Tribolium castaneum: one gene and its partners. The protein of the gene in region 3 purifies or fractionates together with the protein of the main gene of each other region. This does not show direct contact. Links are inferred from orthologs where the notes say so. Each region holds a gene or a part of one and is shown on either strand. Other genes may lie near its edges.

Region 1 (5,852 bases), on a different chromosome or scaffold from region 3:
TTAATTTAAACGTCTGCAAGTAAGACACATTTATCATATTAAAGGTTAATTTATATTTGCTCAGTAAACCTCTGCGAGGTGTTTCGGGGAAATGCTGGCGACCATCAAGATGTCGCTAAGTTTCCTCACAATTTGCTTATTAATATTTGCCAGCACTAAACAGTTTAGCATGTAAATCACATCGTACTGCGAGCTTGAATATTCATATTAAACGCACTTCGCATACACACTGCCATATTTGCATGTCTATTGTTCCAATTAAGCAATAAATTTAATTAATCGCGCTCGGAAAAATGGAAAAGAAGATTAATCGTTTCGATTAGAAAAGCCGCGCTAATTTTCCGGCCGATCAAAGATCAGGTGAACCAACACGTGAGTTTTTCCGGGATGTCTTTCGCCGTGAATTGTAAAAAATTGGAGGCGTGGATCAAGTCAGAAGAGCGACGCTGTGACAAATCGAGTCATCTGCTTGGAGACAGCTGAACCCCTCGACTTCATCTGTTTTCATCTTCTGTGCTACTCTTGGTTTCATGGATTGCTTATTTTCTACTTCCTGCCATAATTTATGTATGAGCTCAAATGGTCTTGAATTTCAAATTAAACTAAGTGCGCTTTTTCAATTTTACGCCGACGGAACACGCCCCAAGTGCACTTTTTTCGCCCAAAGCGGACGATTAGCCCATTCATCCCAAAATGCCGCCTCACCAAACACGAAAATTATTAAAGACAAATGATTGGCATTTTCGAAACAGAAATTAAAATACGAGCAATTAAAAGATTATGGCATTTTTTTCCATTTCATAAGTAGTTATGTGTTAGACAGTACAAAACAGAATTTAAATTTAAATTTTGAAGTTTTAAATTTTGAAAATGATAAACTAGGGCTCCGTATAGTTATGTCGGTTCAGCTACTACTTTGAGACTTGGTTTAATTTTATTTTTTTCGAAGATTAAACAAAGATTTGACTAAAAACGCGTTTAAATCCTCACAACTTGCAAAAATAATCTCATTTTTCACATAATTCTGTGATTTATTGGCTTACTTTTTTAAAAAATTTGCGAGTTTTTGCTGAATAAACGCTTAGAAAAGGTAAATTCTTGGTCATTTTCGACCAAATTTGGTGACTGTTGTGTTCTAGTTTAATAAAAATAAGGAAAAAAGATTATTTTCGGTTTAAAATTCTCAAAACTTGCAAAAATAATGTCCTTTTTGACATAATTATGTGGTTTATTGGCTTACTTTTTAAGAAATTTGTTGAAAAAATCACCAATTTGAGTTTTATGGTGTACCAAACATTTAACAATAAATTCAACATTGGAATATTTAAGACGGTTATTGCTTGCAGAAAATGGAAATTAATTGTCTTATAGTTTAAAATGATGCCAAAAACAAAAAAGTAAGTACACATTTTTTCTATTTTGTACTTTGTAGCCGTATTTGGAACTTTCTTTTGCAATAACTGTTGTCACCGAATATTTTAATACTCCTGACTTATTTCAATTTTTTTAGTCATTTTTTTTTAATATCAACGGTTTCGGATTGTTTTGGGAAAAAACGAATTACGTTTATGGAATGTGGATGTATCATTGGGTTTAAATCAATAAAAACTATAATTGATTATGGGCTTTATTTTTCATGTAATACAATTAACTTAAACGTTATATAATTTTTTTACAGCAAATAATAACTTTTTCACACATTTTACGTCGGAATGGTTGAAACTGAAGGACCATACTGTTTACAAATCCTTGAAAATTCACTTTCTTTCTGTTTTAAGTCTCTAATGTATGGATGATCTGGTTGAGCGTCTTTCAACTGAGACAAATACCTACTTGCAATCTAAAACAAAGAAAATAATTAACAAAAAATGTTACAAACAATTTGACAATCAATTACTTCAGGCGTTTTCCCTGTATGTTTATGTAAAACGATAAGATTGATCAAAGTGTCTGGATAATTAGCATCTTTGTCTAAAGCCTCCTGTAGAGCAGCTTCCGCCTCCTCATACTTCCCCTGACCTAGAAGAGCCACAGCTTGGCCATTAAGCAGCAAAGGTGTAGCCCCATATTTTTCAACCAATTCCTGATAGATATAATAGGCGTCTTGCAGCTTTTCCCCACCCTGTAAAAAATATTTAACAACACAAATTAGTGGTTAATTATTAATAATTTTGCGACCTACACTCGCGTTATTGACCCACGCCTGTGCCAACTGCGTTAACGTGGCATCGTCGTCCTTCTCCTGCATTTCCTTCAACTTCTTCCTGGCCAAATCAACGCGATCAATCTTCAGCAAAATATCAATAATAAAAGCCAAAGCCTCCAAGCTTTCAGACGCGTGCAAAACGCGGTATGCCGTCTCTAGATTGTTCTGATTAACGTATATTGTCGCGGCCACAAGTGCAAGAGTGTCACTTTCGACGTTGGAGGCCAGCTTCTGGTCTATTTGGGCGACAATAGACTCGCGTTTTTGTTTGGAGGATAAATATTCAGCCAGGAGTCTTAAGGGCTGGATTTCCTCGGGTGAGGACGGCTTGATTTCGTCCAGCACTACCAGGAATTTGTTCTGGGCCATGTATGAGCGGTAGGTGAAAATGTCGCGTTGGATGGCCACCTCGGGGGTCGAGGGCTGGAAAAAATATTGAGCAAGCTAATTATGGAAAAGTGGTAAAAACCTTGCGCAGTTTTTGTGCCTCATTTATGCACTGCTGATAATTTCCAATGTAGTAGAAGTTTTTTATTTCAAATAATTCGTCGTCGTGTTGCTGACGCGACATCTTGAACGTCAAACTGACAGAAACTTAACCTTAAATGGGAACGAACTGGGCTTTTATGCTGTGTATATTGGCGGCCTTGCTGCTTAATAATTCGGAAATTCGTCAAACAAACGTACACAAAAATAAATTTTTTACTAAACTTAAGCTTCCTCCCAACTTGTGTGTCAATTAAAATAAAAAAACAGTTAAAAAACGTCTGTTTTTAATAAAAAAATCGTCCGTCTGGTGATTTATTTTTCTGACGTTGGTCGTGGTCAATTAAAGTTACTGGTCTTTAGTTTAAAAAAGTCGTGTTTTTGAAGCTTATTTGTTCTTTGTAAGATACAATTTGTTAAGTATAATCTTCACTTTTGAATAATTTTATTGTTTTAGCACAGAATGGCGTCATTCTCTGTGATAAATTTGCAAGGTTACGAAGCCATAATCCACGAGAAACTTTTCGCAAACATTAAGCAATTAACTTATGTTTATCCACCAACCCAAGACTTCCATGAGGTTTTCAGGGAAGATATGTTTAAAAAAAATAACAAGGCAGCCTTCCAACAAGTCACCAACTACCTTTTCAATGTCCTAAGTCCTGAGTTGACCAGAGAAAAGCTCAAATCCTGGCCCCCATACGACACCAAAGGAGAGCGAGAGTTTAGACAAGAGGTGGTGGCATTTGTTGATTACTTGAATGAAAATTACAAAGCGGCGAACATTCCTAAGCTAATGCCATCTCTTTTTGTTTCACCTGGTGGCATAAAGGTGGCCAAATTCATGTTTAAATTGTCGACGTTCGTCTTGCATGAGCATTTAAAAAAGAACATGAAAGAGGGCAAATTATTGTCTCCCATCAGACCTTGTAAAAATCCAGCCGTTAATGCAATAATTATAGAAAACTTGAATAGAACAACGTCAGTTATAAAAAAAAGAACGTCAGAAACTGCCACCAACTTCCACAAATTCTCGGCAGAGGCATTTGCAGAAGCCCAGCGAATTGTGGAGCAAGTGGAGAGGATTAAAAGACAGGAAATGGCCGAAGTCACCAAGGCGTTAGACGAAGAGAAAAAGAAAAATCTCGAATCAATTGATTTGGAAAAGTTGCAAGGAAAAATGGCACAAATGGAAAATATTAAAAGCATGTGTGAGAGAGCAAACGAGCTCCTGGATGTCATAATGAATGATAATCAACTGGAACTTGATAAAGAAAATACTCCCGACTTGGATTTGCTGCAGTTGTTCAATGATTTAAATGAGTTCCTTGAAAAGGAACGTTTCCAAATACCAACTTTGTTACAGGAAGATATGAAAGATATGGTTCAACGCTTGTCAGAGCTCACAGAAAACTACAAACAACTTATCATTAATATGGAGCACGACAAGAAGGAACTCGAAAAATTGGCAGAAAATTCTGTTATCTAATAAAGATTGAAATTACTTTACATTTTTTGTACCATAATAATAAAAATAAATTTTTTGTATTACCTTTGTACTCGTTTTATTCAATCTTATTACATAGCAGGATGTGCAGAGAATAAAAACAAGTTTTCCGTGCAGTTATTCTCATTTAATTTGTTTTCCAAAGTCAAGGACGGGATTTATAAATACCTTTATTAGATGTAATTGTTTATTGTTGAAGGAAATTGAAAATCCATTAATTGCTGTAAACTTTGCAACAAAAATTATTCAATAAAATATAATTTAATCCAGCTCAAGACCAAAGTTAAAATCTCCAAATTATGTAAGCGGTCTTAAAAAATATTTATACATTTACATACATTCTGCTTTAATGGTCGATAGAAAAGACTTATCAACTGTAATTTCGTAAAACTATTAAAGATGCTGTAACTTTGATGTCACCGAGTATTTTAATTCCGGAACTGGCTCTCAAAGTCCAGCCGGGATTTATTGCATCTTGTGTACAAACACGTATCAGATTGATAAAAACAAACTAGTAATTTAACATCAATTATAGTCTTATTGTTACATAATGCAATTAGAGAATAGTTGTTAAAAAGTGTTTTGCATTTAATAAGAGTCATAAAACACTCACGTAATAAACATGCAACTGCGCCCAAGAAATAAACACCAATTAACTGTAATAAACAAAATTTATTAAAAAATCCAATGAGTATCAAAACATTTATTTCGAGTGCTTCTTAATAACGGCCAGAACCTCCTCCACATCCTCCTTCGAGCCCAGAAAAATGGGACACCTCTGGTGCAAGCTCGTGGGTTGCACGTCCAAAATGGGGATTTTCCCGTTGGAAGCCAACCCACCCGCTTGTGTCATAATAAACGCCATGGGAATGCATTCGTACAACAACCGCAACTGTAACCAAAATTCACAAATTTACCCCAATAACTGTGCTCATGCACGTCACCTTTCCATTGGGGGAATCCCTGGTCGCTGGGTAAATGAAAATGCCGCCGTATTTAATCGTCCGGTGCACATCGGCGACCATGGACCCCACATATCGCGCATTATACGGCTTCCCCTTCGATGGGTCCTTCTTGTTACTGACGTATTCCTTGACCGCGTCGTCCCATTGATGGGTGTAGCCCTCGTTGATGGCGTAGATTTTGCCCCGTTTGGGAATCGTCATGTTCTTATCAGTGAGGATGAACTCGCCCACGGACGGGTCCAGCATGAACCCGTGGACGCCGTTCCCCACGGAGATCACCATCATGGTCGCGCTGCCGTAGAGCGCGTACCCTGCAGCTACCACCTGGTTGCCCGGCTGGAGGGCGTCCTTCACCGACGGGATCGAATTGTCCGTTTTTTTCATTATTGCGAAAATTGAACCGATTGAGACGAGGCAATCGATGTTGGAGGAGCCGTCCAGCGGGTCAAAAGCCACGATGTACTTGCCCCTTTTATCAGTTTCAATCTGGGAAAAATAATAATGAACGCTGAAACAATGATAGTTGCTTCAACTCACTTCAATCACTGTCTCGTTCTCTTCGGAGATCAGCAGAGCGACAGTGTACGAAGAGGACAACATGTTGATGAAGAGCTCGTTGGCAAGGCAGTCGAGTTTCTTCACCTCTTCGCCTTGCACATTTGTGTGGCCCACTGTTCCAAACCTGGAC
Region 2 (7,110 bases), on a different chromosome or scaffold from region 3:
AAAATTAAAACAAACTTCTTAAAATTTTGTACAAAAAGCAAGAACGAATAAAATATTAGTAGTATTTATACAAGTGAATTTTATTATTATATAATTTCATTAACTATCGTAACCTACTGTGACACTTACACTATCTCATATTTGTCGGGAAACAAGCTAGTTTCAACAGAATACTTAACAGGAGAATCATCGTCCACCATTAATACATCAAGAATCTGAAACGAGAAAACGTCTTTAAAACCACGACCTATTACTAACGCACTCGCCGTGCTGGTGACGTAAACAGGAAAACTCACCTTAATATTTGCGTAAGCAGATTTCGAACTAAAAGAAACTGTCACCGGGAAAAAGTCGTTAGGAATAGATCGGGGCGCACTAAATTCCAACGATCCAGTTTTATTGCTTGAATCTATAATAGGTAGATTCCATATTAGCTGGTTACGTCTTGACTCATGCGTGTATGAGCCATCACATTCGCCCACAACCGGGTTACAACCCATCCTAAAATAATACATCAATAAAATACTGGGATCACATTTTATGAACGTACGGTAACGGAATCAAAATATTGACATCAGCCAGCTCTAAATTCGGATCGGCAAGTTCGTACTCGATATTGATGTCGCAACTGCCATCGCCCACTTCCGACGGCCAACAGTTGATCAAGAGAGGCACTAAACTCTCATCTGTGCTTTGCAATCGCCATTTCAGGACACCGACGTCTGTGTGCAACGGGAATGGTTTGGATGGTTGTTTGAGCCCAATCTAAATTAACGAAATTAATCAACAATAATTTTTTGGTTTGTTTGTACTTGGGAACGCAGTTTGAAAAGTTCCTTGTCTACATTGGGGTGAGTTTGGAGCTGGATGCCACGCGTGTCTTTATTTTCCAACTGGACACGAATTCGCCCCCACTTTTCGTCCCCAATGTGCAGTGTCACCAACCCCAACAACTCGAATTGTTGCACACCGCCGTCACGGCCCATTCGAACGATTAGTTTTTCCTCCAGTCTCAAGTGAACACTGGAAATAATTCAAGTCACTTTCTACTCTATTCTGTTTATTTTCTTACTCATTAATATCGGACTTGATCGCTGGTGTTTTCATTCCCCCTTGTGAAATACTGTTATTAACTGGTGCAATGACATTTTCGCCTTCGGATTTAAGCTGGTCTACGAAAGACTCAACGTCGTGGCCTTTGCCACCCAGTTTCATTCCTCGAGTCGAAGGTTTCCTATTAAATCAATTTAAAAAAAAATTTTTTGGATGTTTTTAACATACTGAGGAGCGGAGGAATAAGCTGGTGGTTTGATATCGTTTGAAATATTGGCAACATCGCCGACTGAAGGGGCTGGAGTATAACCAGATGAGCTACCAAAGCCTCCACTGCTACCAAATGATGGTTTGACGCCCTTTTTGTTGGCTTCCATTCGCTGGCGTTGCAATTCTTTAGCTTTCTCACGCATTTTGTTTTTAGCTTCGCGTTCTTGTGTCTAAAGAGGAGTCAGTTCGTAAATCAGAAATTACATTGGTTTCGAATCTATACAAACAGCATGCCTTAATTCAATTATAGGAAAGGGCTCTAAAAGAAATATTATGCTTTCTATCAAATGTTAGATGTCTCATGTCTTCTGTTTCTATTTTATTCGCCCTAAGACCTCCGTGAGGAGGTTTAAAAGTGCAGAAATATCGGAAATGGCTTTCTATGCCCAAGCTAAACATTCTGTCTGAATAAGATGTTTTTCCTTTCGTGAAACTTTAAATCTTGAATTTATTGTAAATAAAAGCAATTTAAAAATTTAATAACGCTTGTCTTTAAGTTTTCATAGTTTTTAAACCAGTGGATAAATAAGTGGGTCGTAAAAAATTCAAAAACTACACATACAAAAAAATAAACATTTTCTTTAATCACACTGCTAGTAGTTTTTCCAAAAAGTAAATAGTTTAAGCAAAAAAAAACACGTTAGATTTCATTCTCTTTATTCACCTGGTAGGTATATCAACAAGTTATACAAACAATAGCATAGTCTCTTTATGTTGATGTGAAACGGAATATTATTATGGTATTATAAGAACTCTAGATTTTACAGCAATTCTTTTTATGTTCATTATACCATTATTAATTTTCAACATAAAATCCATCAGGGTAACAAAAAAAAATAGTGAGACAGGTATTAGCGATGAATTCGTTCACTTAAACGTTAGAACAGCTGATCAGTGATCACTTACCAAATTAACTGTTAAATTAACTTTTAACAGCAAATTAATTTTTATTTCACCTTCTACTGGGTCACTATGAAATAATGTGTCGAAAAATTTATTATATCTGATTTTATACCTCAAATAAAAATTTAAAATTGGGAGGAATTTTACTTAACATCTTAAAAAATTTATTGGCAATACTGAGTTATTTGCTTTATTACCAAAATTACTTTAAGAGCTGTGACTAACACAAAATCTTTGAAAACTTGTCATTTTGTTTATTTCTTTCAAACCGCTTTCATTTAAGACAGAATCCAAAATCTTACCGGGAAATATACTGAGTTACATGGTTAAAAATTAAAAGTCAGTATTGCCATCTGAAATTACAACTTCTTGGCTTTAATAATTTTTAACCAAAAAATTCCCTTTTTTTGTCACTGATGACAGAATCCAAAACCTTAACCAGAAATATACTTCAGTTACATTGTTTAAAATTAGAATTCAGTATTGCCAACTGGAATTACGACTTTTTGGCATTACAATTTCTAGAACTGTTGTTAATTTATTTTCTGTGAGGCAATCTAATCATGAAATAGCAAATTTGAAATAATAGCCGTGTCCGTTGTTGTACAAACTTTGATAATAAATGATTTTACCAGTTTAGCAATTTTATTACCTGTCTGACGGCCTGATAGACCCGCTCTTCGTGTGAATCCATCTCGACAAATGTGCGAATTTGGCTCAAATTGACGCTTTCCCTGTACCCAAGAGCAACAATCTCATCAAACGCAAAAATGAGGGAAAATGCGTTTTCCGCAATTTCATTTTCTTCCAATGAGCGGCAATATTCGGGAATCTAAAATAATGACAATGTGAGGATGTTTTTGTGGCTTCCATGGGTCTGGACAGCTTACCACTTTCGCAAACAACCTCAGAGTTTCTAAATCTTCCAAAATGTTGCTAGCTCTTGTGGTAATCAGGAGCATGTAAAGGCGCTCAAGTGGCTGATATACATATCGGACCGAGTCGGTCTCTACAAAGGTGTGTTGTGTTCCTGTTGGGATAAGTTTGGGGAAAGCCGCCAGGAGACCCTCAATGCGGGCTTTGGTCATCTCAACAAACTGCCGAGAGACTATGGCTGGAAAGGCAGAGAAAGGTTGCAACACATGGTTCGGTGGTTTATGTGGGGTACTTACTTTTACCGGCCTTAGTGCAGACCGCCGCTGCTATGAGCACCTGAAATCATATGTTATAACGTGAGAAAATGCGTAAAATGGCAACTTGGAAATTTTAAATTGGAATTGTGAAAGGTTGGATTTGTGTGGTGTGTGAAAGATTATCTCACCATTTTAGAGACTGTGAAAGGTCTGTTGCTGTTATGTTCCTAAAAACTAAAATAATATTTTACAAAACATTACACCCTATTAATTTTTTAAGATGACGTTGACTTGTGCTTGCTGTTGAATGAGAAAAACAGTGACGTGACCGTATTCAGTCAGCCAACCTTACGCCGATTCACTGCACCAGCTCTAGGCGCAAAATTCGAAAATGCTCCAGTTTCTACTCATAAGTTACTTAAAATCAAACTAAATAAGTCAATAACTGCTCTATTTTTATATTTTTTGTTGCTTCAGCTATTTAGTAATTTGTTCCTACTAAAATATAGCAATACAGGAATGTGAAAAAAAGCAAAAAAAAACGTAATTATTTTAGAAATAAACCAGATAATAAATTGTATCTAACTAAAAAAAAATATTTTCGGTTTTTTATTATCCACTATGGCCTAAGAATATTTCAGCAAACTAAATTGTCTTAATAGATTATAGTAAATTATGATATTGTAAAGATATGTATCTGAACAAATTGATTGAATATCAAAAAAAAATTGCGGCCTAGAATTACAAGTTATTTTTATTTCTAAGGTGGGTGGTTTGGGTTATTTGAGTATTAAGTATAGCTAGTGCAATAAAAATGATTAAATAAAATATCGTGATTAAATTGCAAGTATTTTGAAAATTTAAATTTTTTTTAATATCAAACATTCCAAAATTTTTATCTTGGCTACCAGATCACGAAAATATAGGCCAGAGTTATTTTTTATTACATTCTGATTAATAAGTAAAAAATTTTAACCATTCTTTGTCTATCATAAAGTCATAAGATAAGGCTATGAAAAAAACATAGTATTTTCCTGTATGCTACTGCAAATGTTAATTAAAGATAGAAAACAATACAAAAATGCCACAGTAAAGTGTCAAATTTCAAAAATTTAAGATTAGAATAATATTAACGTGTGTTAGTCTGACTTTTGTGCGATATATTATATTATTTTCTCATTTTTTAAAGGTAATCAATGGTAATCAAAAAAATTGTAAATGTGAGAAAAATAAACAACAATAATTTTTTATTAACACAATAATTTGTCGGATATTGTTATTCATTCGTTTACTTAATTTTTTACACTTTAGGTACGAGTATTAGCAAGAAGCTTTTAATTACTTTAAGCTGATATAATCAACAAATATAATCAGCCAGCACGATTAACTGTTATTTATTATCTACCTGTAAACCATTATTAATAGTGCGTTTGGTAAATATCTCAAACTAAATAATTACTTTACTTTATTACTCTTCTTTCGATTGGCTCTTGAATTTTCCTTCAGTTTGCACATCTTGTTGAGCAATTATTTGCTGGCATTTTTCTGACGCAAGTGTGTTTCAGTTCGATATTTTCCAATACCCCGATTAGTTTGAAAATTATCGTTTAGGTGGTTACAGTGTATTCAAAAATTTGTACATAGACTGCACTGAAAACTGTAAATCCATCATAGGAATGTGTTAAAATTGATGATTAGGTACTGAGTTTGAAGCATTTTTTATTTCATGAATAAAACATTGGTGGTAGAGGATTTATAATTTGTTTGTCTCATCAAGAAATCAATATGTTTGTCAATTGACATGAATAATGTGCAGTCACAAGCTCACAAGACTACTGTTACTACACATCAGTTTAGTGAGTGTTTTTTTTTTAATCATACTTTACTTTAATAATCAACAAATGTTCCTTTTTTTGTATAAGTGATTTAAGCAACAGAACAATAGAATAGATAAAAGTGTAAAATAATCAATACAAAAATAAGGGTAGGAGTGAAAGGACTGAAAATGGGTGGTTCTAAATTTTGAAAAATAATCTACCAGCAATATAGAGCGAGTATTGGTGGTCATATAAGCGTGTTCTAAAAGTAGAGTGTGAGGAAATATTCAAAATATTTGATTTTCCTTGAATGGGGTCTTTTGAAATGGAGTAATGGAAGTTTGTTTGAGGTGTGGGCAGCGAGTTTCATTGATCCAATTACTGAATAAAGTTTAATTAACAATAATAATTGGGAGTAAAGAGTGGAGAACAAATAGATGGCGCCTTGATATCAACATTAGTAGTTTACTATATTTATCTGTTATTATGTTCATTTTATGTTCACGTTTCCGTGTGCCTCATCAAGGCCGTACCAAGGCCATAGCAAAAGCTATAGTAGTGTGTTATGTTTAGGTTAATTCTGTTAAAAACATCTCGTCCCATAGTGTCTTTGTGTAACTTTGTAGTAAAGGCTTAAAACAGTTCTATGGCCAAAGAATAATGTGTACCGTTGATTGTGTTCCTCTACCTGAGTGAAAAGGTATGTTTCATTGCATCTTCCTCTCTGACACTTAAGTACTATATGGCTAAGTACTAAGTGCTCTTACTATTGTTTACAAGTTGCCTATATCCTGTATCAAAGCAAATTGCTTTTTCCTGTGGAAGCAATTGACACATTTTAATGTGTTCAAAATTAGATTTGTATGTGCACCCAATCTAAATATAAATTTCTGTTGATAAATTAAAATTACGACGTAATAATTGCAAACCTATGCATGTATTTTTATCGTCATTCCGCAACGTGTGTTTCTTGCATTGTTTTCACTGACTGTTATAGCGATATTTAATTGATTTATGTGATTGTTATGAAATAATTTTGTCCGCAACAATGTTAATAAAATTGTATGTGAATGTAATGTTAATTCTAGTGTTATAACTAATATTTTTTATTGATGTGTGGACTTATAATTAACGTAAGTGAATTAATAATAATAATTACAGTACTTATATTTATTAAAAAAGTAGAAATAATATCCCAGTTGACCGTAAAATCTTAAAAATTATGCGCACCTACGTCGCATGTTCTTTGGCCATTAAAGACAGCTCCTTGTAATTTATCACAATCAATAAATGGTGTAATTCGTACTACTTGTTGCTTGTAAGCAACAAGAATATTTATCAAAATATTCACCTGTTGAGAATGCGATACTAGTGGTTATCACTGCGGGAATTTCCAAAAAGTGTGAGTTCGAATCCCGATCGGCTCAATTTTTTTTTACATATTTGATACAGTATGTTGTCTAGTATTTTAATTTAGGTGTTTTATTAAGATTCACACCCACGTATAATTGGGTAAACTATATTTAAGATCCATATTTGAGTAGTTTGAAGAGTTGTTTTATTCTATCTTTACTACTCGTATAATAAATATTTATAAGCATCATAATAACAAACAATTAGTACAATGAGCTCTAAAAAAAACTACCATAAAAGATAGTAACGGACAATAGAGATGTAACCGTAAAAATCGTATTAAATTAACAGTACTCGTAATTACTATGTACATAGTATTTTCAAATTTGCTTTTTGCAAAAATGTGAGTTAGGTAGGAATTTTACATCCAAGCCTTTTATTAGATCGCATTTCTTTTATCAACAACGATTAACTTCAGTAATAAAGTTGAAGAACATTTACTACATATCTTGCACAATAAAAATTATCTGTAGATTGTTAATCCTTTTTACTTTCGTGTCTGCAACGAAATACTAGAACCA
Region 3 (5,960 bases):
TTCATTAAATTTTAACTCGTTGAACCAAATTGGTTCAATTTGGTCAGGTGATCATTTAATTGCGGATTAAATTAATGACGCTTCTAAAAAAATTCCACAACAAAATACCCGCTCATAAATGTTAGGTAAAATTGTGCCATTGGTTACTAAATGAGAATTAAATTAATCCTAAGTATTGGGCATTCTGGACATAGGCTGTTTTCGCTCTCAGGTACAGAAATATTTGCACAACTAGCAAATTCAAACTGTAATTCTGTTTAAAAACACACGTTTTCACAAGTTAAAGTTTTTCTGTTAATTCGATAATCTGTTCTTCAGTTAACGTTTCTATTGTTGATATACTTTATGATTATTATCAACTTCAACATATTTCAGAAAGTCAAATCTAGTTCGTTATTGCCAGAAATACGCAATAAAGGTTCGTTATAATCCAGGGGTATCTCAAAATTGGTGAATTCTGAGTCCAGAGCATTGTAAAGAATCACTTCAATAGTCCAAATACAGCGTGATTCTTAAATAGACCGACAAATTCTACCCATGGTAGTATCAAACGAGTACATGCTGGGAAAAATAGTAAAAAAATTTTTTGGATAACGTTTTCAAAAAAATAAATAAATAAATAAATTTAAGTTATTTTGGAACTAAACCGTACGCCACTGATGTGTTCGCAAGTAGTATTAGCTCAGTTAGTGGAAAGTATGATAATTATTTGATGACAATATACTTGTTCAATGAAACAATGATCTTTGTGTACTAGTTTTTTTTTATGAAATCGGCGATATTTTTTTCCAATACAACTAATTTAAACTCATGAGCGCCGTACGTGACACTGATTAAAGGATTTCTGCCCCTACGAAATGAAAACGTAAATATGGTTCAGACATTTTTATAATTTGACGTTTTGTTTTTAAGACAAATTACAAAAATTAAAGATTTTTCAAGAAATTGTATCGCATTAGTGTTTTCCAAAATCATTTATACCATGATTAAAAATAAACACTGAAATTTTTAGCCTGCATTTGAAAAAAAAGCAATTCAAAATGCACCTAAAGTCCTAAAGTGCACTTTCGAACTATGTATCTTTGTGGGGAAGTCCCGAGTCTTTATTTAGTTTCTGTATTTGTACAAGTGAAGTGATTCTCTACAATCTTCTGAACTCGGGGAATACCTACACTAACTTTAAGACAGCCTGTATAACCAATGGTTATAACCGGATTCCATTGTATTTTATACCAATTTTATAAACAAAAATTGTGCTTAACATAATAACTCAAAACATATTTAGCAAGCGGCCAAGGGCGACTCGTCCGAAACCGCGATATCCAAAGACTGCGAGAACGGTGAAACCAACCAGAACCTAACCGAGTGTCCCAACGACCTCAACACCTCGAACAACTGCACCGAAATCAACAAGATGCTCCCACACATCGAAATGGCTCCTCACGAGGAACCCGAGGCCGATTACACCGTTATTATAACCGAGCACGGGGCTGTCCACCATGGCCACTCCCATCTCCATGGGCACGTCCATGCCGCCCCCCAGAACTTCTCGTCGGTTGCATGGATGGTGATTATGGGTGATGGTCTCCACAACTTCACTGATGGTATGGCGATAGGGGCTGCGTTTTCGGGGAGTGCCGCTGGGGGGTTTTCCACCGCCGTGGCTGTCTTCTGCCACGAGTTGCCCCATGAGGTGGGCGACTTCGCCATGCTGCTCAAGGCCGGCATGAGTATCAAACAGGCGCTGTTTTATAACATTATTTCAAGCATCTTGTGCGTGTTGGGGAATTTGCTGGGAGTTTATTTAGGTTAGTTTGGTGGTATATTGTTTTTTTTTTATTTCAATATTTGGAATTTTAGGGAATACGGAAGTTGCCAGTTCTTGGGTGTTCGCAGTGGCGGCTGGAACGTTTATTTATATTGCGCTGGTGGATATGATACCAGAGTTGAGCTCGGCACATGAAGATGAAGGGAATTTGATTCAGTGCATATTGCATTTGAGTGGGCTGTTATTAGGGTTTGGGATTATGACGCTGATTGCGTTGTTTGAACATGATCTTAAGAATATGTTTAGGGAATAATGACTTTATAATTCGTTTCTATTGGCTGTTTTTTATTTTATCTGGTTTTTGATACTGCGTGTTTACTGCAAAGACTTGTTTTTTTTACAATCATCCCCCTTCTTCCTTGTGCTGCTACTTAGGTATTAGTATTGATTAAGACTTACCTATATTATGTAAACCCACATGTAATGACCAGTATTGGTACGCAAAACAATAAAATTTATTTAAATATGAACAGGATTTTATTTCTTCCAACAAAATTATAAACGTAGAAAAGAAAACAGTTACTACATTATTAGTTAAACTTAAACTTTAGATAATTATTGATTACCTTACAAAACTAATTATACTTTTATTTTTTCAGTTTTTTCATGACCGCTTTACAAGTCGCCGCAGGTAGGCCTGGTAATTAAACAAATTAGTCTCAAATTGTAAACACGGAATGTTTTCCATACCTACGACCTTAGACAATTTCCTCGGGGGCATGTTTGGGTCCTTTTCGAGGACAGCTCTAATTTGTTGTACTTTTTCGGGGGTTAGAAAAATTTCCAAGTTGGGTAATTCCGGTTCTCTAATACTACCAGTTGCTCGAAGCCGATCAACCAATTGGGGCACGTATTCTCGTAACATGTCATCGCTAAAAGTGGCCCCAGGAAACTCATTTCTAAATTCCTGAATACACTTTTCTGCAACGGACTCATTATACAGCCATCCTTCATTTTCCTGCCACTGGGTGTTACGGCTGTATGACTCAAACAGGAAAATGTTTTGCTGCGTTGTGGGACATATTGTTTGGTCCATTTTGTCGTATTTTAAAATCAAAATGATCAAAATAACAATTTTCAAATTTTCACTTGACAAATGACAGACAAATACCAACATCACAAACCAAATTCCCATCTTCTGTCAATTGTCAAATTTTAGACACGTACAAAAATCAAAATAAGCCTGATTTTGCCAGTATTTTGCAATTTAATGAAATAAGCTACAATTTGTTACGTTAATTAATTGCCACAAGTCGAGAAAAATGGAAGGAACACTGTTGGTATGTGCGAGTTTTATTTGTGGGGGCCCACAGTACCCGTTTTTACAGGAGCCTACGTTGTACATGGTTAAAGGAATTGCAATCCTCGACAATGACGGCAACCGTATTTTGGCTAAATATTACGATAAAAACGTTTTTCCCACGGCTAAGGAACAGAGAGCCTTTGAGAAAAATCTCTTCAATAAGACACACAGAGCTAACGCTGAAATAATCATGTTAGATGGTCTAACTTGTGTTTATCGCAGCAATGTTGATTTATTTTTTTATGTTATGGGTAGTTCGCACGAAAATGAAGTAAGTTTTTCAGTACTTTATTTATTTTTTGTTAATTATAAATCGTTTCAGTTAATTCTAATGAGCGTTTTAAACTGTCTCTATGACTCTGTTAGTCAGATTTTGCGCAAAAACGTCGAAAAGAGGGCCGTTTTGGACTCACTTGATATAGTCATGTTGGCTATGGATGAAATTTGTGATGGGGGGTGAGTTACACATATTGGATTAATGAAGAAGTTTCCCTTCACTGGCTGTTCCTGGGAACGTACCCCAATGTGGCTCCATCTGTTTTATTGTTGCATTTTTGTTTTACTAATTCATTTTGCTCTGACAACAAATAACCGTAATCCAGAGGGTGATTCTATTAAGGCATACATTAGAAACTTCTTAACTTCCAGTATAGCTAGAGTTTATACAATACACATCGACCATTCCAAATTCAGCTAAAAGTTTAATCGTACCAGAAATTAAGCCTTAAACAAATGTATGTCTGTAAATTAATATTGCCTGTTGTGTTTTATGATGTAGTTTTTTTTCTAATTATTAATAAAAGATGTTTTGTTTCCACAAATTATTTCAAAAACTTAGCTTAATGTACTAATTAACAACTATGTAGTATATGCAAAAATGCACAAAATATAGGGTGTACCTGCTGTAGGTGAGGGGATACTTTCTTCATTATGTAATTTTTTTTAACCTTTACAATGTAAGTTATTTACATATTTTTGTATTTCAGTATTATTATTGACGCTGATTCAAATTCAGTTGTGTCGCGAGTGGCTCTCAGGAACGACGATATTCCCTTGGGAGAGCAAACTGTAGCTCAGGTAACTAATGCAGTCCATTCAATTTTTTGGTGAAGCTTTTGTCATGTTATGCTAAGTGTATGAGGAAAAATTAATTATAAATATGTAATATGTAATAACAAATACGTTTATTTATAGGTAATACAGTCGGCCAAAGAGCAACTCAAGTGGTCTTTGCTTAAGTAAAGTATTTGTGTAAACTTGTAATAAATTTGTATTAGTAACTAGCAATGTTTTTTACACTTTCCTTAATTATCATTTCGTGGACACTATCAAACACTTTTTTAACATTCTGAGTGTCTGTAGCGATAGTGTGGTGGATATAAATATCCCTAGGGGGCAGCTTCTCCTCAGTTACTGTTTTTGTAATTGGATTATAATTTTTCACTGTTACTTGTATTTTCGACATTTGTGTTATCTTCTCCTCGAGGAAGGCTTTCGCATTATCCACCGCAGAACCCAGAGTTTTATTAAAATTTTTGTACTCGGGGAAGTACTTTTCCAATTTTCTCCCGTGCTCTATTTTCCTCTGGAAGAGGTCCTGTTTGTTGAGAAAAACAATCATTCCAGCCTTTCGTAAAAACCGGCTTCCACACATGTCTCTGAAAACGGACAAAGCTTCCTCAAGCCGATTTTTCGATTCATCTTCTCGTAGTGTTTGATCGAAGTCACTCGCTGCGATTATGAATAAAATTGCGTCAATTCCGTCGAAAACTTGTATCCATTTGCGGCGTTCCCCTCGCTGGCCCCCTACATCGTACATGAGGAAATTGGCGCTTCCGCCCCCGTATGTTTTAGGGACTGGGACGCTGAACTCAATCTCCGAAATGGAAGTGGTGCGAATTCGGCAAAACAGAATGTCTTGAGTTGAGGGGATGTAGTCCGGCTTCCTAATTTCGTCAATACGGTCTAAGAAACTGTTATTTATTTAAGAAACCGTTTCTTTTCACCTAAACACTTACTGTTGGGCGCTGTCTATTAACTGGTATTCGTTTGAGCGCTCGAACGTTTTTTGCACTCCTTGATCGTTCCAAAGGCTCTTCACGTTATCAAAATATTCCTATTAAAAAATATGCAATAATTATTCAATTATTAGTTCAAATTGTACCTCAGTGTATTCCTCTAGTTCTTCTGGCCCCAAATCTAAAATAAATTTGGCGCATTCTTCATTTCCGCTCTTCTCCAGTTTTACAGGAGGATTAATTTTATCCATGTTGTAAACAATATCATAGATAGACTCGTGAATATTTTGCTTGATGTATGGAATTTTTTGTTTCTTTTCTCTACATTTTAATTTTTTGGACTTACTCTTGACAAAAAAAGAAATACTCACTCGGTTGAAAATCCATTAATGTGCAAAATTTTCATTTGTTTAATGATTGTAGTTTTTCCAGATTCACCTGTACCCAAAAGTAGTAATTTGGTCGATCTTTTGAAACGTCTGTCATGTTCTCTTTCTTCATCGTTTTCTCTATTTTTGGGACGCCCACAACCAAACATTTTTATTTTTTAACCAGGTTTTCGCATACCTGGGTGGATACGTGATTATACTTTATCTGAAGTTCCCTTCAAATTACTTAATCTTATCTACTTTTTAAGAAACACTTCCATCATACATCAGATTAAAAAATAATAATATGTTAATAAAATCAATGGTTTTTATAAATAAGTACTTTGGTTGTGGCAGAGATAGTGAATAAAAGCTGGAATTACATAAAATATTTGATAAAATATTTGATTTTGAAAGTCTGCGACAAAAGTTGTCTCAACAAA
Region 4 (5,294 bases), on a different chromosome or scaffold from region 3:
CCGCGAGATTGAAGAGAAGAAACAGCGTGATATTGAAGAGAAGAGGCAGCGGCTGGAAGAAGCCGAGAAGAAGCGCCAAGCCATGATGCAAGCCCTGAAAGATCAGAACAAGAACAAAGGACCCAACTTCACCATCACCAAACGTGATGCTTCCGTAAGTTGTGCGAATTGTGCGTAAGAACGATTCTATGACAAGGTTCTAGTCCAACTTGAGCGCGGCGCAGCTTGAGAGAAACAAGACCAAGGAGCAGCTGGAAGAAGAGAAGAAAATTTCCTTATCCATTCGCATCAAGCCCTTGGTGCTTGACAACCTCAGCGTGGACAAGCTCCGGGAAAAGGCCCAGGAGTTGTGGGACTGCATCGTTAAGCTCGAAACTGAGAAATATGACTTGGAAGAAAGGCAGAAACGCCAGGATTACGATGTAAGCCCGCAAACATAATATTGGCACAGTGGGATAACGTAATTTTACAGCTTAAAGAATTGAAAGAGAGACAAAAGCAGCAACTCAGGCACAAGGCCTTGAAGAAGGGCTTGGACCCCGAGGCTCTCACCGGCAAATACCCCGTACGTGTTATTAATTCTTGTGTTAAGTGTTTGTAATTTTGTGTTTTGTAGCCTAAGATCCAAGTAGCGTCCAAATATGAGCGTCGTGTCGACACCAGATCGTACGACGACAAGAAGAAACTGTTTGAGGGTGTAAGTATTACAAAAGTCAAAAAAAGGACCGATGATTGCGTTGTGACCGTTTCTGTTAGGGCTTTGACCACCTAAACATGGAACTTTTGGAAAAAGTTTGGAAAGAGAAAGTGGGCGAGTTCGAAAGTCGGTCGAGAAGTAAGTGGGCATATCCGTTGTGTTGTGCCCATTTTGCTATTAATCACTTGTCTCGTGTCCTTTTTCTAATCACAAAACTGTACTGTGCCATGTCTGAGTGTGCGTTTTACGTTTTAACAGGGTTACGAAGAAATTACCAAGGAAACCAATGAAAAACTCTGGAAAGACAAAATTGGGCAATTCGATTCGAGGCAAAAATGTAAGAGTTGCTGCTGGTTGCTTATTTGTGCCAATGTGGGCAAGGGCGGGTTCTGAAACGTTGTATTTTAGCCAAACTTCCCAAATGGTTCGGTGAAAGGCCCGGCAAGAAGAAGGGCGATCCTGAGACCCCTGAGGGCGAAGAAGAGGGCAAACACGCCGCCGATGATGATGAAGACATCAAGGAGCCGGTGTTCGAGCCCGAGCCAGAAGAGGAGGAAGAGGAAGAGGAGGTTGAGGTAGAAGAAGAGGAAGAGGACGACGAGGAGGAAGAAGAAGAATAAGCAAGCGAGAACATCGTTTTGTCCCGACGTCCATGATGTACTTTTTATCTTATTTTATTTTCGTTTCCAATAATAAACTGTATTTATAATCAAATAAATATCGTTACATCAAAACTACGGAGGTCTAAAGGTTAGGATACGAAACCACGTTCAAATAAAACGGTCCCGTCCTTGATAGTTTCCTTAGTGCCGCCAGAGAGCGCAGTCGTTCATTATCGTCTGTTTTCTGAGCAATGAATTTTATAAATGATAAAGCATTAAACATAACGCAAAATTTATCGTTATTTATATTTAAAAAAAAAAACTTCTACCAATTTGCACTTTGCCAATATTTTGTAGCGTTTTGAAAAATACGGCACGAAGCGAAAATGTTCTTTTTTTTCTCACGTTTCTTATGAAAATTTCAGTCATTAGTTTTTCTCACAGTGACTTTATTTTAGAATAATACAGTTTTTCTCAGAATTGGTTGAATTTAAATTAATTTAAAGAGTTGGCGCTGAGACGGTATAAGTACTCTATTTTTTGGATTCAGAAAAAGCGAGTTTTCCGTAATCAAAGCCATTTTTTCAAATAAACTTTATTAATATTAATACGACCATAAAATACAAATTATGCAGCGATAACTTTACTCTGTTGCCCCTTCTGTGTCATATTGATCTTGTCACCCAAACTCAGAGCCATCCCCTGCAACAACAAACTCAGCTGTGATTCACACTCAGTGCTACCAACCTGACTCTTGGCCCTGATCCTGATATGTCCAGTAACGGGTGCATCAGGTTTGTTGAACGGTTTTTCAATACTCAAATTAGCGAGAGCGTCCTCTCCAAAGATTGATTTTGCGTACATATTGGCGGCCATGAAACCGCACTGCCCTGACAGGGCCTTCTCCGGAGTCAAACACTTCATGTTGGTGCTTTTGATCAAGTGCTTCAAATATTCCGCAAGGTCGGTTAAGGTCGTATTAACCGAAACCTTATTCTCCCACTCGAACTCGGCCCACATTTGCCTGAACTCCGAGTCGCTACAAGTGGCCGGGACTATGTAATCCATAATATCAATATGGATGTCGTCCAGGACCACCACGTTTCGGTCGGACGCTGCTCCCGTGACGTCATAAACTATGTTCCCGAAAATAATCCCGTTTTCGGTCGAGGCCACTTTCACGTTGGCCTTAATGTTGCAGAAGTCTTTGGGCGCCAGAACCACCGGCTGCGGTTTTTCCACGAGTTTCAAATCGCCGAGAGTTGCCAACTCAAGGGTGCAGTTTTGTAACGTATCGTTGGTCTGGTTGACTATCAAAACGTCCAAAACAATATCATACTGGTTGACATGGACGTAGGCTTCGGCATACACCGGGTCTGAAAAGCCGGTCAATTGAGTCACTTTGTTCAGCTTGTTAACCCCAGTGCTTGTGTCACTGCCGCCGACTCGGCCCCCAACCAAGGCTTGTGACAAGGACGTTTCGAAGACGTTTTCACCCAATTCGCCCGACTTGTCGGCTTGTAATTGCATAAAATTGATCGGATCGTCGGCTTGTATGACATTACCAGCCTTTTCTTTCGCTTTCTGATTGAGTGCTTCTTCAATTTCTTTGGCGACTAACATGTCGTTAAGTGCCTGTCGGCACAAGTCGGTAAAAACCTTGATAATGCTCGGCTGCCGGTCCGAAAGCACCCGCAAGCAGAATAAAACGTGGTCCTTATCATCATTGGTCATGGCCTTAGTTGGCAAACCCGACTTCCCCAAGTGAATAATCCCGGCCATGATCATCATAACTTCGGCATCAAACCGATTCCTTTCAACCGCATTTTTAACCGAACTGCCGTACCTTAGAGCCAGTTTGGTCAAAGTTGAGGCGATCGCAGCCCCGATAAAGAAATCGCCGTCGATTAGATACTGGCGAAGTGGGGGCCGCTTCTCTTTTGTGCTTTTCCTAAAGCTTGATTTACAAACCGGGCTTTTCTCTCGACAAATGACTACTTACTGAACCGTGTTGAAGGCTGATTGGGTGGCGTAAGTTCCGTCAGAAGTGACGAGGGTGCTGGAAGCTTGTGTTGGGTTCGGTTGGGTGACTTCTTCCGAATCTCCGGCCACTAGACGTTGCTCCGCTTCCAGAAGGGGGCCCTCGCCTAGGGTTTGGTTGATGGCTTTAAGTACGGACTGGATGTCGGCCACAGTTGTTGCGTATTCGCCTAAAATCCAAAGGGCGGCTCGGTGGATTTTCACCGATTTTATGTTGGGGAAAGCTTCGAGGAGTTTCTGGAAAATATTTTTTTAAGACAAACACTCGGGCATCATTGAATCTTTTTTTCACATATATAAATTTTTGTAATAATGTTAATAAATGATTAAAATTTAAAATTATTGGTTTCTTATTACGTGATTGTGGATTGTTTTACCAATAGTTTTTGCTCCCATAAACCAAGAAACGCAAAATAGTTCAATTTTAAAGAGACGTTGCGTTAACATTCTAAGGGCAACGAAACTAAAATCTTTCTTCATTAAATAATTAAATTTATTAAAATTAATTTAATTAATTATATCTTGGCCCCAAACTGTCGCTGGGATAATTTTCACCATATCACAAAATTTTGGTCTCACAATTAAAATTTAAAAGTAAACCGTCAAAGATAAAAATATGGAAAAAGGTATAAGGAAGCAAAGTTTTCTCATTTTTTCGGCGTTTTTCACAAGAATATGAGCGTAAGGTGAAGTAAATAATACCGATTGTTTGCTGTCATTTTGTGTCGCAGTGGCCATAATTTTTATTAACAATGTTTTTCGGCATAGCAATGCTTTTTTGATTTAACCAGCTTCTTATACATGTTTGAATATGTCATATAATATGACTTTTCTTTTTTACTCGTAGTAATAAAACGCTCAGATACAGTGAAATTTAATAAAGCTTTATAACAATATTTAATAATTTTTTCAGAAACCTAACGTGATGAAGTACATAAGAGACACGTATTAAATATCAGAAAAAAATCATGTTTATTATAATAAGTAAATCAACCAAGTCGAAGTTCACCAATTGCTCTAAATTGGAATGAGTCCAAAAATCCAAAGTGGTTGTTTTCTCAAACAGGCCAATCACAATGCGTATTAATACTTACGTTAATTAATAATTTTTTTGCTTCTACTCATCGCATTGGAAATGACGTAAGACGAAAGCATCATCTTTCATAAAAAAAATCGACCGAAATGTGACCCAGATATTTTAATTAGATGACCTTTTCATGATTTTCATTCATAAAATATGGACGCACTAGTAATATTGTTCGTATTTTTTCTTTTTTAAAAAATTGTGACTTGATTTATGTCACGACAGAACTCAAATCAATGATTATACGGAAAAGAAAAATTTAAATTCGATTATTTCTTGCAGTTTATATAGAAATAAATGCGTAATCATTAATCAAGTGTGCGTCATTTTCGATATTTGACGCTCCAATGATTAAACACATTCAGATAATAATAAAACAAAATTAATAATCAAACGAAATGCATAGCAAAACGTTTGATTACCGACAATTGAGATCTTACAAATAATCTAATCAAATAACCATGAAATAACCCAAACAACCGTTCTTAATCGAGAGTTGACTTACGTCAAACGTCCAATTTTTCAAATTTTCAAAGAATTTTCTTACCTCAATGATGAGCGGCTGCAAATTATCGAATTTCTGAATCGCCTCTCTGACGAAGATCAGAACATCAACGGCTGCAAGCTCATTTGTATCAGATAAGAATTCGACCAAAACTGGAATAACAGTTGCTGCAACATCCGGAAATCGAATACAACAAGAATGCAAAGTCCGGACTAGCAACTGTCTATATTTTCCGGTATCTTCATGCTCAACATCGTGCGTTTTCGCAACTTCTTTCTTCAAAACCAAGACCATTTCTTCGATATTTCGCGACGAAACCAAATCCATCGCCAGATTAAGAGTCTTTTTGCGCACCTCCAAATCAGG
Region 5 (6,733 bases), on a different chromosome or scaffold from region 3:
TATCTAGAGTTATTTAAAGACCTGATTTGAGACTGGACATACTGGCTTGCATTGAAGTCATTGGTCAAATCAGTGTAAATAATTGGGAAGTGTTGGAGGTGTCCACTAGACCAGGCAATGGACAGACAAGCTCCAGGTTTGAAATTATATTGAAACGCTATTGTACTTGGCACCTCAGCAGCCAAACCGACAATCAACGAGCTGCAAAAACAAATTATTTTCGCTCACAAAATCAATCATTTCACCTTGGTATTAGCTGGAGTAGTGGCGACTTTATTACACTAAAAAGCGCAACACAACTCGTATCTTTAAAAAACACAGCCAAGTGGTTTCCTTTTGGATCAGCTTCCATTGACTGAACAATCCCGCCAACTGCAATTCCCTCCAAATCAATTTTAGAGAGGTCAAATAAAGGCACAGCGTGGTCAATAGAACTCTCGGAATTGCTGCTAAACACATGGTCACTTTTCATGTTCAGTCCATAAATAACTGGCTCTGTACTTGTGGCAAAGAGCAAACTTGTGCCACAACTCGTCCAACAAGCTGCTTGGACGCGGCCTGAAGGCACCGTCCAACGCTCGTTTTCCCAGTGCTGGCAATCCCAAATCCTTCAAATAATTTTATTAAAAAAAAATCGAAGCGATAATTCGCACCTAAATACGATTCCGTTCGAAACACTCAATAATTTGTCTTTGGCTGGAGACCATTTCAGTAGAATATTTCCCGAGTCTCTGGAACCTTTCAAAACACTGGTTTTGTTCAATTCAACGTCCCAGACGAGGATGTTTGAGTCCAGGGCTGCGGCACTGACTAAGAGATTGCCTCGGGGGCTCCAGGCTAGACTCATGACGGGTTTGTGGTCCACCCTTTGTAACATAATACTGTTGCTTACTGAAGGCCTAGTCACCAATGAGTTGAAATCAACGTGCCATATTATAATGCCATTTTCATGCCCTACTGCAATTTCCGTCAAAGACATGGGCCTCCAGGCCAAACACGTCACATTCCTTTGCTGCTTACACCTCAGCAAGGGAACAAAACTACTATCATTACAGTAAATTCTAACGCTGTCGTCACACGTCGCCACAGCTAGTCGCGAATTGTGCAAATGCCACGCAATGCATTTGATCGTGTTATTAGCCCAATTTCTCGTTTGGCTCAACTCATCTATCAATTCACAACTGTGGTACTCCAAACTCGGGTTTAGAATCAACCTCGCCTTACGCAAATACCGCCAGACTGCCAACAAAAAGCGGGCGCTCTGTGATATTAACAAATGTTGATGCAAAGTGGCGGTATGTAAAACTTCCTTCAAGCCCTGCTCAGCGTACACCTGTGTGAGTTGTTTCAAAAACGGCACATCAGTCGGCAAAAACAACGCCCGACCCTCGTCCCCCAAGTTCGGCAGATGCAGCAAATCACGAGTTATGTGCACCTTCGGGTGTTTGTCAACCTGAAACGCACAAATCACAGCTTCTGGTGGCTCTAACCTCTGGAAACGTTACAGCAGTCGTGAAGGTTGAAACGTTGGCAAATTCGTGATTCATGCATTGCATTCGGCCGTTTATCTCACATAAAGTCACCTCGCCGTCGATGGGAACCGGGAAATCTTCCAAATTTCTCATTTTCGTTCACTTTTTACCGGTTTTCAAACTCAACCACCAACTGTCAAAAGCAAGTGTAAGTTGCTCAAAGTCCGATACCCGCGAACTCAATTTTGGATCACGTTTGGCAACGCACAATTAAATTGGCATAATTTTTATTAACTCTACAAATGATTTAATTGAATTGAGTAATTGTTGCAAAAATACGACGCAAATTATTTATTTTTAAAGTTTTCGAAGTTAAGCTGCTTCGGTAAAAAGTCGCTCAAACTCAGTGACCAACATTAAAAACTTAAAAAACACGCGGTTATTAAAGCACTCAAATAAATGTTTTTTTTTTTGGTTGGTAACAGTTTAAGCCTTCTTTTTAATATTTGAATCCTAGATTATAAACAACGTGTTTTAAATCAATGTTTTCACTATTTTAAAACACGCTTAAGCAACGTGTTTTAAATTAAAATGTACCAGCAAAAAAATTAATAACACTTCCGAAAACGCTTAAACTTCTCGGGTGTCTAGGTATGCAGCTCTCAAACTTAAAGCTTGTGTTTTCTCACTCGTATTATAAATAACTATTTTCTCATGTTTCTTATGAAGATTTTAGTCGTCAGTTTTTCTTAGGCTGATAATAGCGCAAAGCTCAACATTTCTCAATTTTTTTTCAAGTAATTAAAGAATTGGTTGGATTTAAATTCATTTAAAACAATTTGACGTCGAGACGGTATAATACTCTGCGTACTATTTTTTGGGTTCAGAAGCAATTTTGTCTTATGTTTCGTCTCCTAAGTAATAGTCATCATTAATTAATAAATAAAAAATAAAGACCCATTGAGAAACTGTATGTAACTTTAATTCTTATGGAATACCTACATAAAATACTTGACAATAAAAAACATTAACGATTAAATCTCGGATTAAATATTAGTATTGGATAATTATCCTTATTAATCACTTAACAAATCATCATCAATATTGATATCCTAAAAAAAAACTGTCAATATTAAACCTCAGACGTAAAGAATGTCTCTTACCGTGGTGTCTATATTATCATCAATGTTAACTCCCTCCAAATCCAGATCAAGATCATCTTCATCCTCTTGCTGCAATCTGGGCGGCGCTTTCATTTCACTCTGAACCGGTTGGCTAAAAACCAAAATTAACTCAAAAACTACCAACAACCCCCCAACCAACCTAGTCTGCGCCACTGGCACACTGAACCCTTCGCCCCCTTGCGCCTTCATCTCTTGCACAACATTTCTCTCATGATTCGGCGTAATTTTCTTCGCATCTTTGGCCAACGGTAACCCTTTCCTCCCCATACTATAAAAATGTTGAGCAGCAATCGCATCATTCAAACCCGGGAACAAATTTTCGTAATCCTTCGGATCGGCTAAACTCTGCCCCGCCTTTTCATTCGTCGTCGACAACTTCGCCTTCCACAAGGACACAACTTCGGATATCTTATCGGGCAAGTACGACCTAGCGAAAAACGCGGCTTCGGGCAAACGCCCCGTCGAAATCAAAATCTCCAGACACTTGTCCAAATCTCCCAAAAGGAAAAACGACAAGAAAGCCAAGTTGTGTTTGCCTTCAGAGTGTGTATTTTCGCCCAGTGTTTTCACAAGTTTTTCGTCACCGGAACTCGTAGCCAGGAGAAGGAGGCCCCCATAGTCCTGCGCCCTTTGCATGCACTCCTTGGCTAGTTGGAGGTTGTTAGTCGAAGCGGCTAATTCACCCAATTGGCTCCACTTTTGCGGATTGTTCGCTTCTTGGGCCAGAGTTCGAGCGGTGTTTAAGTCCTCCAAGGCTAAGGCTAGTTCGAATTTGTGTTCGGGGTCCGTGCTCACAGCAAGGGCCTGTTTTTTGAAGCCTTGTTTTTCCAAAAAGTGGGCCACTCGAGTCCGGTGTTCCTTCGGAATCGAGGGTAATACTCTATCGGCTGTGGTAAAGTCACGACGCATTACTGCAGTTTGATACTCGAGTACCGACAATAATAACTGATAACTGACAACCCCTAACTCCTTATCAGCGAGGTAGAGCCGATCGTCACGCGGGACATAGCCGAGGACGTACAAAGGCCGGTCCAAGTGAGCTATGGTTACAAGCTCACCCCCAACGAAATAATTAATTCGGTTGACGGCATTCGTGTAAATGAAACAATCGCCGACCCACAACCCCGTCCGAACTGTCTCGTTCACTTCCCCCAGGACCTCAAACGCTGACTCAACCCCGTCCTCAGCCACCTGTCCCTCGTCCTTAGCCTTCTGGACTTGGTCCGAATCGTACGATAAGATATAATAACTATCTTCGGTCGCAAGACACACCAATTTGCCGTTATCGGACCAGTAGATCGCCCTTGGCTGGATTTCAATCCTTCGGATTAAATCCAAACTATCCCAATCGTAGAACGTCAACCCCGCCACTGACTTAACCCCAAGTAACCACCCCCCGAAAATCCCTTCGGCCCCAAAATCCGGTTTAAAATTCTTCTTCTCTTTGAAGTTTTTATAAATACGGACCGTAGACCCCGCTTCCCTAATCGCATATTCGCTCGAATCTTGCGCCCAAACGAACTCCTGAGCCGCCCCAAAGGCCTTGTTCCGCAACGCCATCGCCGTGTAAATAATATACTCCCCATCGCCGCACACAACAACAAACCGGCCGTTGGGGTTGTGTTGGATCGTCTGGGGGTAGATCTCGCAGGCCCCCATGTCTTTCACAGCCACTGGGAGCCGCTCCCCGTCTCTGACCTCGGCCCCCTCGGGCAAAGCCTTCAGATTGGCTTGCTGCAGCTCCGAATGTCTGGCCCAGATTATTTTGCCCCCAGTGGCGTCCATGCTAACTGCCGGCTCCTCTCGCCCGATTTTGACCAAAATACTGCCCTCATCATACCCGAAAACTACGTTGTTTGAGCCTTTGAGGCAGCAAATCGTCCAAACGCGTTCGAAGCCGTAGTTGAGGCTACTTTCAAGACGGTGTGTGTTAGCGTGCCAGACTTTGACAGTGCCGTCTTCGCTCCCTGTCAGGACGATTGGGAGTTCAGGGTGGAAACACACCGAGCTGATGTTTTGAGTGTGGCCTTCGAGGGTTTGGACGCATGTTTTGTTCTGGTAGTCCCAGATTTTGACAAGACGGTCGTCGGCGCCTGAAATGATGTAGGGTTTGTCGCCCCCGTGGTAATAATCGACGCAATTGACCCCCTTCTCGTGGCCTTCGAGCGTGAAATTGGGGGTGGAAGCACCCAGTTGCCACACTTTCAATGTGCGGTCGAGGGACGCGCTTACGAACGTGTTGTTGTCTTTGGGGTTGATTGCGATTTGCATTACGTAGTGAGAGTGGCCTTCGAAGACTTGTTGACAGGCCCAGGCTTTCTCCCAGTTCCATAATTTGATAAGCATGTCATCTAGAGGTTTCATATTTCGCATTGTAATACAATAGCAAGTGTAAAATTATTCAAAGCCAGTGGATATACTAATGTAGCGACCGGGGCAACAAAAACGATTGTACATTCTATCAAAATATAAATTAAAATTGTGAACACATGGAAAAGTGTCAGATTTCCTCGCGTTTGAAAAATTGGTAAATTAAAACAGTAAATTCGGTGATCATCTAATAGTTTCACACACCGATCAGGTTTCATTCTGGGTATCAGTGTTTATATGTACAGACACCACGAACCTTCAAACTGTGCTCCAATCACGTAAAAAATAAATCAGATTGCCCTAATACAACTGAACATTGCAATGAGATAGGCTTTTAGATTACACAGAAAAAAAAATCAATACTCTTACGGATTACTCTTACTTTTACGGACAGTTAAAGGAAGGTGTCAAAGTTTAACATTCAAAGAAATGTGAAGTTATTTACCGTTTATCTAAATAAATTGAACAAACATATAACATCAACTTGCAGACGACAAAAATTGGATGCAACGTGACATATCTCACTAATATTTTTTCCATTTTGAATGAAATGAATATTTCATGAAAATTAACAACACATACTTTGAAAGTTAATAACAGAAATGGAGCAATGATTCAATGCTCGAACTACATATTATGGAAAATATATGAAAATAGAAACTATTTCCAATGCCGTCAAAAACTGCATGATTTCTTGGTACTAAACGAGCCTTCTCTTAACAGTGCCCTTCAAAAATTGATCGTAGAATGTAGAATATGAATTAAAAATATCAAGAATTTAAATTTAGAAGATGTGCCGTTAAAAGAAAAATAATTATGTTCTTTGTATATCAAACTGAATATTCATTGTTTTCAGCAAAAAAGACATTGGCAAGTTAAAAAACAACTTTATTATAAATAATAGTACTGAAAGCACTTATTACAACAGTGAAAACCGTTCCTCTGTATCTGCTCTCTAACTCAAGTTATTTCGATTTAAGGCTGAAATTATGACGTCATAACCGCTTATCAAGCATTTGGTCCAATATTTAGATCAAATGGTTTTTGACTGTTCACCCAATAAACACGAAACATGTATTGTTAGATGATTTACATAAATCTTTTTTTTAGTCTACAATAACTACAATAATCGCTATTTTTAAAAACTTGGAATCACGTAACAATAATAATGAGACCGAAGTGATATAACAATATCACAATAATCGCCTATAACATGTAAAACATGCGGAATTATCAAAATACAACCACCTCATTCGAAATCATTATGTGCAGGCACGACAACAATTCATAAAGAAAAAATATTTGTCACAATGAATTTTTTATATATTTTGTTTTGTTGAAATTATATTTGTTTCTGTTTTTTATATAAATAATATATTTTAGTTCTACAACATGATATTGTTTAAATGTTTCTTATACCATCCTGAAAGTGAGTGAAATATACCATAGAAATTTCAATGAAATGTTTCTAGTGAATCATATCAAGAAGAAAATATTTGTTGTTTCCCAGACGTTTCATTAACAAACTATGCTCAAAGGTCAAATGTTTCATTTAACAAAACATTGATTTCAGTAATGTTTATGACCTAAAAAATGTTTACTGGGAAGTGACAATGACTAAGTTTATCAAAACATGACAAAAATTCTCAGATGTTTTCGCGAAGTTCACGCCAAAATTTAGAAGAGGAATTAGTCGTAATTGTTGGT

The links.
Region 1: the proteins of zetaCOP (region 3) and epsilonCOP purify together in Homo sapiens (affinity purification with mass spectrometry; 3 studies listed by BioGRID and IntAct, with this or other methods). This does not show direct contact. The link is inferred for Tribolium castaneum from reciprocal best matches to the Homo sapiens genes COPZ1 and COPE.
Region 2: the proteins of zetaCOP (region 3) and deltaCOP fractionate together in Homo sapiens (co-fractionation; 5 studies listed by BioGRID and IntAct, with this or other methods). This does not show direct contact. The link is inferred for Tribolium castaneum from reciprocal best matches to the Homo sapiens genes COPZ1 and ARCN1.
Region 4: the proteins of zetaCOP (region 3) and betaCOP fractionate together in Homo sapiens (co-fractionation; 8 studies listed by BioGRID and IntAct, with this or other methods). This does not show direct contact. The link is inferred for Tribolium castaneum from reciprocal best matches to the Homo sapiens genes COPZ1 and COPB1.
Region 5: the proteins of zetaCOP (region 3) and beta'COP fractionate together in Homo sapiens (co-fractionation; 6 studies listed by BioGRID and IntAct, with this or other methods). This does not show direct contact. The link is inferred for Tribolium castaneum from reciprocal best matches to the Homo sapiens genes COPZ1 and COPB2.

The regions. Positions count from the first base shown.
Region 1 is NC_087397.1:2,370,788-2,376,639, forward strand, and holds epsilonCOP (coatomer subunit epsilon), read right to left. Parts: upstream 2,837-5,852; 5' UTR 2,778-2,836; coding exon 2,676-2,777; intron 2,630-2,675; coding exon 2,183-2,629; intron 2,123-2,182; coding exon 1,898-2,122; intron 1,841-1,897; coding exon 1,703-1,840; 3' UTR 1,614-1,702; downstream 1-1,613. Other genes in the region: uncharacterized protein LOC103315197, read left to right, coding at 3,156-4,181; fbp (fructose-1,6-bisphosphatase 1), read right to left, coding at 4,903-5,091, 5,144-5,650, 5,702-5,846. UniProt on the Homo sapiens protein: The coatomer is a cytosolic protein complex that binds to dilysine motifs and reversibly associates with Golgi non-clathrin-coated vesicles, which further mediate biosynthetic protein transport from the ER, via the Golgi up to the trans Golgi network.
Region 2 is NC_087394.1:32,200,980-32,208,089, reverse strand, and holds the start of deltaCOP (coatomer subunit delta), read right to left. Parts: upstream 3,704-7,110; 5' UTR 3,551-3,703; coding exon 3,548-3,550; intron 3,439-3,547; coding exon 3,399-3,438; intron 3,341-3,398; coding exon 3,117-3,340; intron 3,059-3,116; coding exon 2,879-3,058; intron 1,494-2,878; coding exon 1,282-1,493; intron 1,235-1,281; coding exon 1,073-1,234; intron 1,024-1,072; coding exon 813-1,023; intron 766-812; coding exon 551-765; intron 502-550; coding exon 297-501; intron 216-296; coding exon 126-215; 3' UTR 1-125. Other genes in the region: hfw (protein halfway), read left to right, coding at 5,168-5,215. UniProt on the Homo sapiens protein: Component of the coatomer, a cytosolic protein complex that binds to dilysine motifs and reversibly associates with Golgi non-clathrin-coated vesicles, which further mediate biosynthetic protein transport from the ER, via the Golgi up to the trans Golgi network.
Region 3 is NC_087396.1:16,249,887-16,255,846, forward strand, and holds zetaCOP (coatomer subunit zeta-1), read left to right. Parts: upstream 1-2,944; 5' UTR 2,945-3,090; coding exon 3,091-3,108; intron 3,109-3,156; coding exon 3,157-3,402; intron 3,403-3,453; coding exon 3,454-3,587; intron 3,588-4,117; coding exon 4,118-4,208; intron 4,209-4,293; exon of another isoform or gene 4,294-4,325; coding exon 4,326-4,373; 3' UTR 4,374-4,404; downstream 4,405-5,960. Other genes in the region: zinc transporter foi, read left to right, coding at 1,286-1,808, 1,861-2,081; Galphaf (guanine nucleotide-binding protein G(f) subunit alpha), read right to left, coding at 4,405-5,104, 5,150-5,247, 5,296-5,470, 5,521-5,687. UniProt on the Homo sapiens protein: The coatomer is a cytosolic protein complex that binds to dilysine motifs and reversibly associates with Golgi non-clathrin-coated vesicles, which further mediate biosynthetic protein transport from the ER, via the Golgi up to the trans Golgi network.
Region 4 is NC_087397.1:6,601,830-6,607,123, reverse strand, and holds the end of betaCOP (coatomer subunit beta), read right to left. Parts: coding exon 4,971-5,294; intron 3,577-4,970; coding exon 3,302-3,576; intron 3,251-3,301; coding exon 2,047-3,250; intron 2,002-2,046; coding exon 1,927-2,001; 3' UTR 1,845-1,926; downstream 1-1,844. Other genes in the region: up (troponin T), read left to right, coding at 1-154, 204-422, 473-565, 617-697, 956-1,034, 1,106-1,317. UniProt on the Homo sapiens protein: The coatomer is a cytosolic protein complex that binds to dilysine motifs and reversibly associates with Golgi non-clathrin-coated vesicles, which further mediate biosynthetic protein transport from the ER, via the Golgi up to the trans Golgi network.
Region 5 is NC_087398.1:12,749,135-12,755,867, reverse strand, and holds the end of beta'COP (coatomer subunit beta'), read right to left. Parts: intron 5,008-6,733; coding exon 2,796-5,007; intron 2,748-2,795; coding exon 2,636-2,747; intron 2,585-2,635; coding exon 2,549-2,584; 3' UTR 2,433-2,548; downstream 1-2,432. Other genes in the region: aladin, read right to left, coding at 1-201, 246-608, 654-1,453, 1,506-1,625. UniProt on the Homo sapiens protein: The coatomer is a cytosolic protein complex that binds to dilysine motifs and reversibly associates with Golgi non-clathrin-coated vesicles, which further mediate biosynthetic protein transport from the ER, via the Golgi up to the trans Golgi network.